Linked DNA regions of Rhinolophus ferrumequinum. The protein of the gene in region 2 purifies or fractionates together with the protein of the main gene of each other region. This does not show direct contact. Links are inferred from orthologs where the notes say so. Each region holds a gene or a part of one and is shown on either strand. Other genes may lie near its edges.

Region 1 (8,019 bases), on a different chromosome or scaffold from region 2:
TTTTTTTTAATCACTGAAGTTACACACTTTTAAGAACCTAGTAGTAGAGAGAACACGGAAATATTTAAGAAATGTACTTCAAAGTCTAAAATTAAACACATCTATTTGGGATTCGATTTCTCATTTTTTAAAAAAGAAGGTATTTGACTAGATGATCTTTAAAGCTACAGTGATACTTTAACCTGTTTTAAAACAAACAAATTCTATGATTTAATTCAGACAAAACCTCTCCCAAGATAACTCCCATAAGGATATATTTTACTTACATTCTTCCTACACCTTCATACATGTTAGTCTCGTCTACCAAAGTCATAATCTCTGTATCTGTAAGATGTGCATGCTTTTTCGTTCTGTTTAGCTGTTCAATCTGTATATCTGCAAGCTTCACCTTCTGTTGAGTGTCAATAACTTTAGCTTGAAGCTCTGTGAAGGCCTAATAAAAACAAGTCCTTGATTTAGTAGGTGAAACACTTAATAAGAAACATTTAAGTTAAATCCAAATGTATTAAAATTAAGCATGCTAACCAGAGACAAAGCTATGAAATTTACCAAAGCAAACATCAATAAAAGTCAGTATAATTATAATCGATCAAGCCACTAGGCTACATACTGAAATTACCCTGTCAGAAGATGGAATCTATTTGAAGCAGAAACAAATGCACATTAAGTAATAACCATGTCAAGTAGCAGGGACCCAAGGAGTAATAAAAGCAATGAATGCAATAAACAGAGGATGAAACCCAGAAATCCAAAACAAGAACCATAAATGTAACAACTCTCTACATTTGTGTTATTCAACCAGGTTTCAAAGCACTTTCCCACGTTTCAAATATTAATAGAAATATTAACATGAGAACACTGAAGGATATAATAATATCGCATTTATTCCTCTCAATAATCCTATGAGTTAGAAATGGCTATTTCATCATTACAGTTTACAAATTAAGTAACCAAATGTGTTAAAGAGCTGTAAGTGGCTTGCACAGGGTTGACCGACTATCAGGTGGAAAGGCAGGTACTAAATTTCTTGTGACCCCTAGTTCAGGAATCTACCCATTCTACTGTCTACAGTAATATAAAGAACATAAATAATAGAGATATTTTAAAGAAAAAGACAAAAAAGGAAAACATTTCAAAGCATTGGTAGAATTGGATCATGATCTTCATATACACATACCAGGCCAAATTTGAACCTTGTGTACACTGTTCAACCTTGTGTACGCGTAACTGAAAGATAAACACAGTTCTTGGATACTCTTGTTGAAGTGCCTGAAATTTAACAGTGCATGCTGTTAAATTTATGCCTTAATAATAACATTTGTGACTGCAATACATGGCAAAAGGTACTACTTAACTTTTATTCTGACTTTGTTCTCACCTACTGGTAAGGTTTCCAAAGATTTATTTTGTATGAAGGGAGGTGCCTGAAAATTTCCTACTAGTCTCCAGCCAAAATAAAACCTTATCGAGATATTAGAAGATAAAATCTTTAAACGAGTTTCTTCAGTTAATTGGTTGTAAAACTATCCAACTTAAATGTGTAATCATTTTCTTAGTTTTCATTCATTGCCCACAGGTGTCTTAGCAACAAATTCAAATAATACTGGGAAGTTAAGTCCATTCATAGCTCTATGTTAGCTCTTTCAATAAATCCAGGCTTAAATTTGAACTTTTAACAGGAGAAAAAAGTAAATTTTTACACTGCGTTAAGCATTCTTAAAATGAACTTTGTTCTGCATGTAAAATTACCTGATTGTTCTGTACACAGTTTGCTAAGGGAGCTGAAATATTGTTAAAGCTGAGATACTTGAGCATTAGAGAACACCACGTAAGGGCAAAATTTACAAGTTTCAAAACAAGAATGACAAAAAGCAAGACATACACATAAATCCTCACAGCAATAACAAAGAGCTTCATGTAGTACGATCGACAGCTATTTCAGCTGTCCTATTTCTCATGCAAAGGTTGACCAAAAGGGAATCTGAAGTAAAATTTGCTCTTATGAAGAACCTAAGTAGTCAAAAGGTGTGGAGCAGACAATACTGGATTCTAGTCCCAACCTTTGATTCAATTTTTTTCTGGAACTCAGTTTCCTTTTCTGGAAAAGTATAGTTTAAACTAGATGCAGCCTAGGATCCTTTCCAATACCGGTCCCCCTCCCCACCCCAAAAAACTGTTGGGGTCCGTAATGATGTTAGAATCCTGACAACTCTTAGATGATGAAAACGTTTCTGAATAATAACACATTTATAAGCAATTGTTTGAATAGAGAAACCCAATTCCTTCTGATTATCAATTTTATTTGTAAAACTTGGCAGGACTTGTTTCTTTTTCGACAAGTCCTTCAAAAAAGGTAAAAGGTGGGGAGCCAGAGCCCTGAGATGCACAATGCTATGAGCATGTCTGACTCTGGACTGTACTGCGACCTTTCAAGATATGGGATCGAATAAATGGCCTAAAAGCACTGGCTGGATTTGGAATTTTTCAAAGCTAATGAGGATGCACCATTACAGATGCCTAGGCTCAGGCGAACCGTCCTAAGGGGCTCCAATTTGAAACGCTTATTTCAGGCCTCAATACGAAACTGAAGGCCCAAGCGCAACGTAACGGCTCTGCAGCTCGGAAGAGAACAGGCCAGCTATTGGCGCACCAGACAATCAAAGACAGCTCAACGGGCTGTTACCCACCAAGAGCCGCTCGCCCCCTACTCCAACTTAAGAAGACCCGATCCCGCCTTGGGACTTCAGGAAATCATTCCCCAGTTCCCTGGGGCCTCTTTCCGTCTTCAAGACTCGAGCCTCCTCGATATTCTTATCCACAGTCCCCTTAGCTACTAAAGAGAAGCCTCGGCCTGCTCAAGACGCTCTCTTACCTTCTTTAACTCCAAATCCACGGGCGCCGCCATCTTGGCTCACTCTCTGCGCCTGCGCGATGGAAGAAGGCCCGAAAAAGTGAGGAGGAAGGGCGCGCTTTGGCTGTTTAATTGTCCCCCTTTCTTCTGCGCCTGCGCATAAATCGGGCTTGCCGGGCTTCTTCCCTTCACGCGGGCTAGTGGCGCTTGAAATGAATATTCTGGATTCGATTCAGCCTGTGTTCCCCACGTGATCTATCAGGTTTGGGCTGCTTCTCCACGTCCTTCCAGCCACAACATCAACATGCAGATTTCGTGTATGGTTTTAAGCATTTTGACAAATAGCTCAGTTTTTGCTGCTAAATTGAGACGTATGAATATCAGACCAAAACCTCTTCAGTCATTCAGTCCTTCAGCTAGTCCCTGTGCTGTCAGGAATGAGAATCAGCCTGCACCTCAGGCATGCCAGTGTGGAGAAAAACAAGATTATTGGAGTGGTCTTCCAAAGAACTTATTTCTAAGGAATGCTCTTGGAGGACATTTTTGACATAGTGGTTCCCAAGAGAAGCCAAAAAAGTATGTTTAAAAACAAACAAACAAAAAAACACAGATTGTCTGGTCCTCGTCCCAAACTTAATTACTTAGAATTTTTGAGATTGGGGCCCAGAAATTTGCACTTTTGCAAACAATCCTTATGACCTGATGCAACGTCATCTGCAGACCAAATTTTGAGAATTTGCTGTAAAAGATCTAGCATTTGAACCAGAATATTGGATAGAAATTGGACTTTAGGACATGGCAGAAATGGATGTTTTATCTACTCTAAAAACTTGTGAGGGGGGCCGGCCTGGTGGCTCAGGCGGTTAGAGCTCCATGCTCTTAACGCCGAAGGCTGCCGGTTCGATTCCCACATGGGCCAGTGGGCTCTCAACCACAAGGTTGTCGGTTCGACTCCTTGACTCCCACAAGAGATGGTGGGCTGCACCCCTTGCAACTAGCAATGGCAACTGGACCTGGAGCTGAGCTGCGCCCTCCACAACTCAGATTGAAAGGACAACAACTTGACTTGGAAAAAGTCCTGGAAGTACACACTGTTCCCCAATAAAGTCCTGTTCCCCTTAAAAAAAAAAAAAAAAGAAAACTTTAAAAAAAAAAAAAAAAAAAAAAAAAAAAAACTTGTGAGGGAAGGGAAAGGGAAGGAATTTGGAACCGGCCAGACCTGGATTAAAGGTTTGGTTTACCTTGAGCCTAGGTCTGTTTGGTTCCATTTACTAGCTATGTAGCAATAGAGTTTGTCTCCTCTTTTAATTTGAGAATAACAATATTGACCTAATAGGATTATTGTGAGGAATACATAAGATCAGGATGAAACACTCCAAACATAGCACCACACACACAGTAGGTACTCAATGAATAGTTGTTAGTTGAGGTAGTTAACATTGTCATGTTTGTCTTTCAATGTCCAGCAAACAGGTCACCTCCTCCATTATGTCTTTTTTTTATTTTTTACATCACTCAACAACCAAAAATAATATCTCCTTTAAACTCTCCTCAAGACCACATCTGTTCTTCTCTTAAGGCACATGAAACTTTCTACCTTCAATTTTTTTTCCTTATTAGACTGTAAGCTCCTTGAAATCAAGAACGATAGAATAATTGTTCTCCCAGCACTTATACCCAGAACACCTATCACAGTGCCTCATAGGGAAGAAATACAAAATAAACACTTGATGAGAATGAATTCTTCAGAAGAAAATTTGTCATCACTTTCTAATTTGAGAAAGAAAAGGGGGGCCTAATTTTACTCTGGGGCCTTCTTAGAACTTCACTATAGATAATCAATAAATAATGACCCAAAAATTAAAATTCATAGAAAGTCTCAGATACTTTACTGTACATTACCTCATGAGATTTTGAAACACTCCTCATAGCAATTCATGTGTAATGTAAAAAGTTAAGAGCATGGGCTAAGGTATCAGACAACCTAGGTTCAAGTACTGTCTGTATTATTTAATAAGAATGTGACCCTAGGCAAAAGTCTCCTCTCAAATTTTTTGGTCATTGTTCCTTTTTGCATACCACTCCTTCCTCTTGAGTTTAATTTCCTTCTTGATAAAGTAAATCTTCAGTATATTCTTTCAGGATGAGTATTTGAGAAGTAAACTCTGTTAGTCTTTGTGTTAAGGGTTGAATTGTATCCCCCAAAAAAAGATGTGTTGAAGTCCTATATCCAGTACCTCCAAATGTCATCTATTCAGAAATCCAGTCTTTACACAGGTAATGTTAAAATGAAGTCTTTAGGGTGGGCCCTAATCCAATATGTCTTAGTCTTTCAGGCTGCTATAATCACCACAGAGTGGATGGCTTATAAACAACAAACATGTATTTCTCACAGTTCTGGAACTGGAAATCTGAGATCAGGGTACCAGTACGGTTAGGTGAGGGTCCTCTTCAGGGTTGCAAACTGCAGACCTCTCACTATGTCCTCACTTGGTGGAAAGGGTGAGGGAATCTCTGTGGGGGTCTCTTATAAGATCCAGTAAAGCCACTTTTGGGTATACACCCAAAAGAATTAAAACAGGGACTTGAATAGATATTTATATATCCATGTTCAGAGCAGCATATTCACAATATGCAAAATGTGGAAATAATTGGAAGCAAACACATGTTATAACCCAGGTTAACCTTGAGGACATTTTGCTAAGTGAAATAAGCCAGTCACAAGAAGACAAATATTTTATAATTCCACTTATATGAAGGATTTAGAGTAGTCAAAATCATAAAGGCAGAAAGTAGAATGGTGGGTGCCAGGAGCTAGGGAGAAGAGGGGGAATGGGGAGTTATTGTTTAATAGGTATAGAGTTTCAGTTTCACAAGATGAAAGACTTTTAGAGATGGGTGGCGGTAATGGTAGCACAACATTATGAATGCATTTCATACCCCTGAACTGTACACTTAAAAATGGTGAAGAAGGTAAATTTTATGTTATGTCTATATTACCACATTAAAAAATGGAAAAAATTTATTTGTACCTTTTTCAAATCTACCTGCTCTTTTCTTTTTTATGATATGTAATGATATATTCTTGCCTAATAGTGAACATAATTAGAACATAATGAACATAATTATTCTTAAATGTTTTTACAGTGTCTTATCATCTAGTGTGGATTCTTCCATTGGAGGCATTTGCTGGTCTTTCTTATGAAAGTTGATTTTCTCATATTACTAAGTTCATATTACTGAGTTCATATGACTAAGAACTCATCAAAAGTGTCTAGCATGTCCTGGGCTGTGGAAACATCCCTTCACATCCATTTCCACCAAAGCCCTGTGAGATTCACAGGTTCCAAACCAGTTTTTATGTTAATTCTTGACACCACATGAATGTACCAAATTTAGGGAAAAATAAAACTTTCCCTGAGCATAAAGTTGGCAGAATGTGATATACATTTACAGACTGGAAGCCACTGTAATATTTTTCCATATCTCCTTTTCATTTGGGTCTTCAAAATAAAATTATTTCCTTTCTCTCTGGAGCTTTTAAAACAGCAGAAAGGGGGCCGGCCCGGTGGCTCAGGCAGTTGGAGCTCCATGCTCCTAAATCTGAAGGCTGCCGGTTCAATTCCCACATGGGCCAGTGGGCTCTCAACCACAAGGTTGCCAGTTCAGTTCCTCGAGTCCCGCGAGGGATGGTGGGCTCCGTCCCCTGCAACTAGTAACGGCAACTGGACCTGGAGCTGAGCTGCGCCCTCCACAGCTAAGACTGAAAAGGACAACTTGAAGCTAAATGGCACCCTCCACAACCAAGACTGAAAGGACAACAACTTGAAGCTGAACGGCACCCTCCACAACTAAGATTGAAAGGACAACAACTTGACTTGGAAAACAGGCCTGGAAGTACACACTGTTCCCCAATAAAGTCCTGTTCCTCTTCCCCAATAAAAATCTAAAAAAAAAAAAAAAAAAAAAAAAAAAACCAGCAGAAAGAGACCTTCTATGAAAGCACTGAAGAGTTTGCAGTACTTCGACATTTGCTTAGAGAATAACCAGGATGTGCTGGTGTCTATCGTTTTCATAGTAAAAACAGACTTCCCACTGAAGGATTCACTAGCACAGGGATGTACTACTTCTGAGGTTCAATCAGTCCACAGTTGTGGAATTTAGAAAGGTGATCTATTATCCCTCAGTTCTGTTTCTCCATGCGCAATACACTTATTTAGTCATTTAACAAATATTTATTGAACATCCATTAGACATTGATCCAGGCCCTTGGGATGTAACAGTAACAGGCGACAAACTCTCTCACCTCATGGAGTACATATTCCAGTGGGGGACAGACAAACAATAAACCTGCAAACAAACAATTTCAGATATTGATCAGAGTTATCAAGGAAGAAAACAACAATGTGGTTAGAGATTGGGTGGAGTCCACCAAGGTGTGGGAAACTCTCTGGAAGGACACTCATCTGAGATGGGACTTGAAAAATGAGAATGAGCCAGCTATGCAAAGAGCTGGGGAAAGAGCATTCCAAACAGAAGGAATAGCAAGAGCAAAGGGTATAGGATGGGAAGAGGCTTGGCAGGAAGAAGCTGGATAGGAAGATTGGTGGAAGGTGACATCAGAGAGTTGGACAGGGGGCCAGACCGTGAAAGGCCTTCTAAGCTACAGTCCTTGCAAGCTACAGTCAGGGGTTAGAATGTTATTTTGAGTGTGATTGGAAGCCATTGAATGATTTCAAGCAGGGGATTGATATAATCTGAAGAGATTGATATGATCTCATTTTGTTTTATTTTTTAAATTTTTATTGGGGAATATTGGGGAACTATGTGTTTCTCCAGGGCCCATCAGCTCCAAGTCATTGTCCTTCACTCTAGTTGTGGAGGGCACAGCTCACTGGCCCATGTGGGAATCAAACCGGCAACCCTGCGGTTCAGAGCTTACGCTCTAACCTACTGAGCCATCCAGCCTCCCCACATGATCTCATTTTAAAGGCATCATTGTGTGTTCCACATGGAGAATGGATTGGAGGGAGCAAGAGTAGAAGCAAAGAGACCACTTAGGAGAGTATTGCAGTAGTGCAAGAGAAAGATGATGGTGATCTAGGTGAAGATGACAGCAGTAAAGATAAAAAGAAGTAGATGGATTCAGGTAGAAGTTACTGAACTTG
Region 2 (6,934 bases):
CCACAAATACCTCCTTAAGTATCAAGTGGTTGAAATAAAGTATAACTAAAAGGTAAACAGAGCAATCTTTTGTAACAGGAACAATAAGCAAAAGAAAATAAGTAAAACCCAGTAGCATTTTTAACCTGTATAGTACATGCTGATCCTTGAAGAAAAGCTAGTTAATTAGATAAGGAACTAGATGAAAATAGATGGAAACTTTAAGGAGAGTCTATACGAGACTTCCAGTTCTTTGAAGAACTTGAGACCTTCATTGTAAGTTAAAGTCAATTATCTTACGGTTTCTGGCATCTCTACATCATTATTCTTATTCATGCTTACTAACTGTAAAGGACTATTTTAGCCAAAAGAAGAAGAAAAAGGAAGAGAAACACAGCAAGAGCGTGAACTATGAAGCCATCAAACTAGAGACAGTAAAAGAAATTCAAAAGGTGAGGGAGCGGCAATGGCTGAACTTTGCATGTAAAATGGAGATACCATCTTCCTGGAGGTAGTAAAACTGCAAGAAAGGAAAATAAGTGCCAGTTTCTAGCACAGGGGGACATACTACTAGGAGCTTAGAGTGTAGCAAGGAGAATTAACTATAGTAGCATAGGTTGGAGGTTAAGAGCCAGGGCTGCCTGGTTTGAATCGTGGCTTCACCACATACTCAATGTGTTGAGTTGAGGGAAGTTATTTAACCTCTGTCTCAATTTCCTCATCTGTAAAATTAAAAAAATAAAAAGTGTATTTTCCTCACAGGGGATTAAATGAGTTAGCATTAAAATGCTTAGAATGTGTAAAATGCTTAGAAGAGTACACAACAGCTTGTAACTGATAATAAACATTAGCTATGTCTACAATACAACGTACTAAGGAAACGTGAAAGTGCCAAGAATTCCATTTGGGGTACTATCAGGAAGAACTACAGGGAGATTATATCTGAAATTAGGTGTTGAGAGATGAAGAGGTCAGCAAATGGAGAACGGGGAAAGGAATAATTCAAGCAGGAAAAGAAAACAAATTACTACACCACTGGGAATGCGAAAAGGGAGAGGTCTGACTCCTAACCAGTATGGTATACTGCCTTTCATCACAGAAGACAATATACAGTCGGCCCTCTACATTGGCGGGTTCGGAGTCCGTGGTTTCAACCAACTGCAGTTCAAAGATATTTGAAAAAAATGTTAACTTGTTGCTGACATGTACTACTTACTCCCTAAACAATGTAGTATAACAACTATTTACATAGCATTTATATCTTATTAGGTATTATATGTAATCTGGCGATGATTTTAGTATATGGGAAGATGTGCATGTGTGTAGGTTAATACAAATACTACGACATTTTATATATGGGACTTCAGCATCTGCAGATTTTGAATGAGGGTAGGAGGGTCCTGGAACCAATCCGCCATGGATACCGAGGGACCACTGTATATTAAGCATCAACTTGCAATACTGAAAGCACATTCTCTGTTTCTCATAGCAACTTTGTAAGTATTGTCATCGCTACTTCTGTTAAGGAACTGAGGCTCAAAGTAGTAAAACAATATGCTCAAGACTAAGCAGCAATTATTCTTTCTATAACACCATGATAGTCCCATTAGTTTGGGAACATAAAAATAATTACGTAAAATTTGGATGGCTTATCATATCATGTTGGCAGAAATTTTAAGGTCTAAAAAAAAAAATAACCCATAGAATTTTAGGGGAAAAGGGCACTTTAAGATAAGACTTTTTTTCTAAAGCCTTCAGATAAAGTTTGTCATCCTGAATTAGATTTTTGAAGCCAACTCTAGCTGAGCACCAGGATGAAGTATTTAAGGCACTATGGAAATACAATTTGACATCTAGTTATGGGTTTATACTATGTGTCAGGCACTGTGCTAGGACCAGGAGAAAATGACACTGAGCAACATGGTGACCTGCCTTTCCTCCCAGTAGCAGAGCAGGATGTGTACACAGAGGGGCTCTCCAGCCCCACAGATTGCCCAAGTTCAAATCCTGGATAACTCACTTACACCCTGTGTGGATCGGAGGAAGTTATTCGAGGGCTCTGTGCCTCAGCTTCATCATCTACAAAATGGGATAACATTACCTACCTCCTAGAGTTTTGTAAAAGCATTAGGAAAATGCCTGGCACTCAACAAATTTTATCTCATTTCCATTAGTTGAGAGAGAAATGTAAAGAAATAAATGGCACAGCTCAGGGAGGAAATACGAAATGACTGAAGAAAATAACTACAAAACTGAATCAGCAAATACAAATATGCAATATACAGTGTATATAAAAGTAGTTTAAGTAAAAGAAATGGGTCTTTTGAAGGAGATATGACTAAGACAAAGGCAGAGATAAGGCAATATAAGTACAAACCAAAAGGTCGGGAAAATTCCATTAAGATTTTATAGTAGCTCAGCCAGAACTGAGTGGGTAAAATCATTCCTCCAAGGCAAGAGACCACCGCATTCCTTCAACAGACTAGGCTTTATTTCCTATTCTCAGCCATCCAGGGCACAGACACAGGTACAAGACCTCATCTCCGGAGTGGAGGCAAGCACAGAATCACCAGCACACCTAGGCTGAGTCTCAAGCTTCTCACTGCCTCCCCTTTTCCAGGCAGCAGGGGATGAATCCTGGTGTCTAGTAAGCAGTTAGGGGGCGCTCCCTCAGACCGCCCCGCTCCCGAGTCCTCCCTCCCCAGGCCCTCTTCTGTTTTGGGGCCTTCTCGGACTGCGTTTCCCCTGGGGCAGGTCCCAGCACAGCACACAGCACAGTCTGTCCACGCACGAAGCGCGAGAGGGGACGGAGCGCTCTCTCGCCGAACCTTCAGCTCAACTCCTTCCCCCAACAGTGGAGGCCAGGGTGGGGACTGGGAAGGAAGGGGTCGCGGCCTAGCGTCAAGATGCCTAGGAACAGCGTATCTCTTACCACAAACACGGCTTCAGGAATCCCTAGGTGGTACCGCCGACCGTTTCCTGCAACCACTTCTCCTGAGCCACAAGCATCTTTAGCGGCCGCCATCTTGGGGAAGCAAGCGCACGACTAACCGCCTTTCCAGCCGCCAGCTGCCGCGGGTCCGTGATTGGCTCGCTCACACCCGCAGGCCCGCCCCTCCTTTGCGAGTCTGCGCATTCGTAGGCAAACAGGAAGTAGACGCTCCTTCTCCTCCCTCGCGCTGTCGCCCATCCTGTGGGTGCTGATTGGCTGCACGCAGGTGAGTGACAAGTTTGGAAGGGCTGCGGAGGAGAAGCTGGTTGTGCAGGAAGGACCAATACGGACTCCTGGAAAAAGGGACGCCTGGAAAAAGGGGTCCCGGGGATTTTGTGGGTGGGTAATTTACTTGCAGTCATTAAAGGAGATGGGACTCACATAGCCAAAGCTCTGTCTCCTCAAGGGAGGCTTGGCCATTCATTGCTTTTATACACTATTTGGTTAATTGCACGTTGATTTCTTCTTTGCAGTTGGCTACACCTATCCAGTTGAGTACCTGTCAAGCTCATCCTGTTTATGGCTGCATCTGCAAAATACTGTGCTATATTTCAACATTTAGCAAGAATAGCATTTAGTAAGAACCAGCCAGACCTTGAGAGACTTGTCCTATTGCTCCCTGAGGTTTCTCACTCCTCATTCTTGGGAGGATGGGGACAATGGGTCATACTTCTGTAACTGCTTCCTATTGAACATGGATGAAGTACATGTTTGAGTTAGAGGAGTGCAATTCTTTGGCTGCCTGACTTATGAAAGCCTTGGGGTCCCCTGGGTTCTGGAAGTCCTGAGAACAGGAGTGCATAAAGAGCACTACTCTCACAGGAGACATGCGCCATAACAGACAACTCAGAAGCAGGGGAAAATATTAAAAAACAAAACTATTAGTAGTGTCAACTGAAAAATAATATTGACTAGGTGTTTCGGCACCAAAAGGAATATATTTGGGGGAAAACAAAAGGTTGTAACCCAGTGCATGCAGACATGGCAAGCCACATGTACACTCTGGCCTGCCTGTAAAGATGGAAGGGTATTTATGGAAGAGAAAGGGGAGTTAAGGGAAGGGGAAGTTACTACCATATAAACATAGAGTTCTTCCTGTAGGCCTCTCGCTGTTAGAGTGTAAGAACTCCTCCCAAAAACCTTAGTTCTTCCCATAGACTCTATTGACTAATTATGTTCCCTTAAAGTTCCAGTTAGTCTTTACCAGTAATTATATAATGAAATACACTAGTAACTGTTAAAAACTCCAAATAAATGGAGAGAAATTAAAGAATGCCTGAATGAATAAATAAGTGGTTATGCTGTGGTTATGCTGTGTTCATGGTTTGGAAGTGCTGATATTGTTAAGATATCTGTATGTATATTTTCTCCAAATTTAACTGTAGATTCAATGTAGTCCCAGTCAGTGTTCTAGAGGACTTTTTTCCATAGAAATTGATCAGCTGATTGTAATATTTTCCTGGAATTCAAAGAGAACCTGAATACCTGAAACAATCTTGAAAAATATGAATAAATATGGAAGACTAATACTACCTTACTTTGAGGCCCAGAGAAAACTATGATAATCAAGACAGTGTGTTATTGGACTAAAGACAGACATTTGGATCAAAGGAACAAAATAAAGTAAAAAATAGACCCATAAATAGGTTGTCAATTGTGTGTGTGTGTGTGTGTGTGTGTGTGTGTGTGTTGTGTCTAGGGGGAAACAAATCTTTTATTGAAATTTTAACTTGTGAATTAATGCCATATGTTGGGATTCTTATTTAGTGAGATCAAAGTCATGCTTTTGATGATATGATTCCTCACAAAGAAGACCCTATTATCCACACATTTTATTTTTGCAGCTGCTTAAAAAAAATCTTCTCATTATTCATATTCATTTTACTTTTTATCTCCAGATGCAAGTTTTATTATTCAGCTAACTGTCCCAAACACCCCCAATTCACTGATGCCTTTTTTAATTTTATTTTTAATTATAGTTGATATATAATATTATATTGATTTCAGGTATACAACTTAGTGATTCAATGCTTATATAACTTATGAAGTGATCACCATAATAAGTCCAGTATTATCTAGTGTTATAAACAAATCTAGTATTATCTAGTATCATGTCACTGTACATAGTTATTATATTATTTACTATATTCCCTTATGTTGTACTTTACATCCCCATGTTATCAATTGAATTTTAAGAAACGTACCAAGGCAACCCAAGGGAAAAGGAATTTATTTTTCACAAATGTTGCAGGAACAACTAGGTAACTATATGGAAAAAGTAAATCTCTACCCTTACCTGTCACCAAACATAAAAATGTATTTTTAGGAGGATCACAGATCTAAACAAAAACTGAAATTACAGAGCTTCGAGAAGAGAAATGGAGGATATCTTCATGACATTGGGATAATCAAATATTTCTGAAGACACAAAAAGCACTAATCATAAAAGAAAAACTTGATAAATTGGAGTTCAAAATTAGAAAACACCTGCTCAGCAAATGATACCATTAAGAACATGAAAAGGCAAGCCACAGACTAGGAGAAATTATTTGTGTAATATATCTAACAGAATTAATATTCAGAATGTATAAAGAACTATAAATCAATCAAAAAAAGAAAAACATTAAAATGGACAAAACAGTTGGATATTTCACAAAAAAAAAAATATTGTAATGGCCAATAAGTATGTGAAAAGTTGCTTACTCATCAGAGAAATGTAATTAAACCACATGTGACATTACTACAAAGCCACTACAATGGCCAAAATTTACAATATTGACAGCAGTAATTGTTGGCCAGAATTTTGAGCACCTAGAATTCTCACACATTGCTGGTGGAATAAAGTGGTACAGTCATTTTTGGAAAATTTTTGGAAGTTTTAATTTTAGACAAACACATACTGTATGACCCACCCATTCTACTCCTAGATATTTACCTGAGAGATGTAGCGACAATCATCTACAAAAGACTTGTACAAGAATGTTAATAGACCTTGTATTTGTACATCAATTTAAAATTTAGTTTAAAAATGAGTATGAAGCAATATATTTTCAGGTAAACAAAAACTGAGTTTATCACCAGCATAACTACACTAAATGAAATTCTAAAAGGTGTACTTCAGGAAGAGGGAAAGGATTCCAAGGCAAGAAGGGATGGTAAACAAACAAACAAAAAACCTAAACACATGGCTAACTAAATCTAAACAAAAACTATTTCTATAAATACTAATACTTTTAATTTCAGAGGCTAATAGAATGGGGCAGAGCTAAAATGCTGGACCACCATAGTATATAAGTTGGGTAGGAATGCCCTTGTACTTTAAAAGTGTTCTAAGGTCCTTGTGTTATTTGGGAGGGGAGATTAAGATATTAACTTTAGTTTTTGATCATTTTGAAGGATAACTATTAAAACAAGAGAAATACAGTGCATCACCTCCAAAACACTGAATTGAAGAATCTCAAAAGTATTGATGTTTCACTGAATGTTTATTTTACTTGGAAGATGTGGGTGATTCAGTTCAGGCTGGGAAAGATCTTGGTTTTTTCACCTCTAAATTTCAATCTTTTTGCTTCGGTACTTCTACACAGATTGTGTCTGGGTAAAAGATAGACATATAAATTTTACATCATTTCTCCATATATTTCTTTGTGGCTATAAAATAAATTACAAATATTATTATACACAAAAGGCTTGGTCAGTCTACTTATTAGGAGGTCCGGCCTCCTAAGACAAACATTCAGGAACCAGGGGCCCCAATACACTGGCTGAAGACTGAAGGAAGAAATCTTACAAAGATTTTTAGAAAACAATACTCTTGAGGTAATGAACACGTGGATCATGGCACTCTCCCATATGCTTCAGCTATACTCATCCACGTTACCACTGCCTGTTTCCATTTCTATGCTCAAGCTGTTTTCTCTGCCTTTAATGCCAAACTTCTATCATCTAAACATCTACTGGGTG

Evidence for each region.
Region 1: the proteins of VBP1 (region 2) and PFDN1 purify together in Homo sapiens (affinity purification with mass spectrometry; 4 studies listed by BioGRID and IntAct, counting the BioPlex papers as one, with this or other methods). This does not show direct contact. The link is inferred for Rhinolophus ferrumequinum from reciprocal best matches to the Homo sapiens genes VBP1 and PFDN1.

Annotation. Positions count from the first base shown.
Region 1 is NC_046307.1:14,945,929-14,953,947, forward strand, and holds the start of PFDN1 (prefoldin subunit 1), read right to left. Parts: upstream 3,021-8,019; 5' UTR 2,906-3,020; coding exon 2,873-2,905; intron 434-2,872; coding exon 267-433; intron 1-266. UniProt on the Homo sapiens protein: Binds specifically to cytosolic chaperonin (c-CPN) and transfers target proteins to it. Binds to nascent polypeptide chain and promotes folding in an environment in which there are many competing pathways for nonnative proteins.
Region 2 is NC_046284.1:5,461,358-5,468,291, forward strand, and holds the start of VBP1 (prefoldin subunit 3), read right to left. Parts: upstream 3,021-6,934; 5' UTR 3,005-3,020; coding exon 2,912-3,004; intron 1-2,911. Other genes in the region: phosphatidylinositol-binding clathrin assembly protein-like, read right to left, coding at 3,075-3,264. UniProt on the Homo sapiens protein: Binds specifically to cytosolic chaperonin (c-CPN) and transfers target proteins to it. Binds to nascent polypeptide chain and promotes folding in an environment in which there are many competing pathways for nonnative proteins.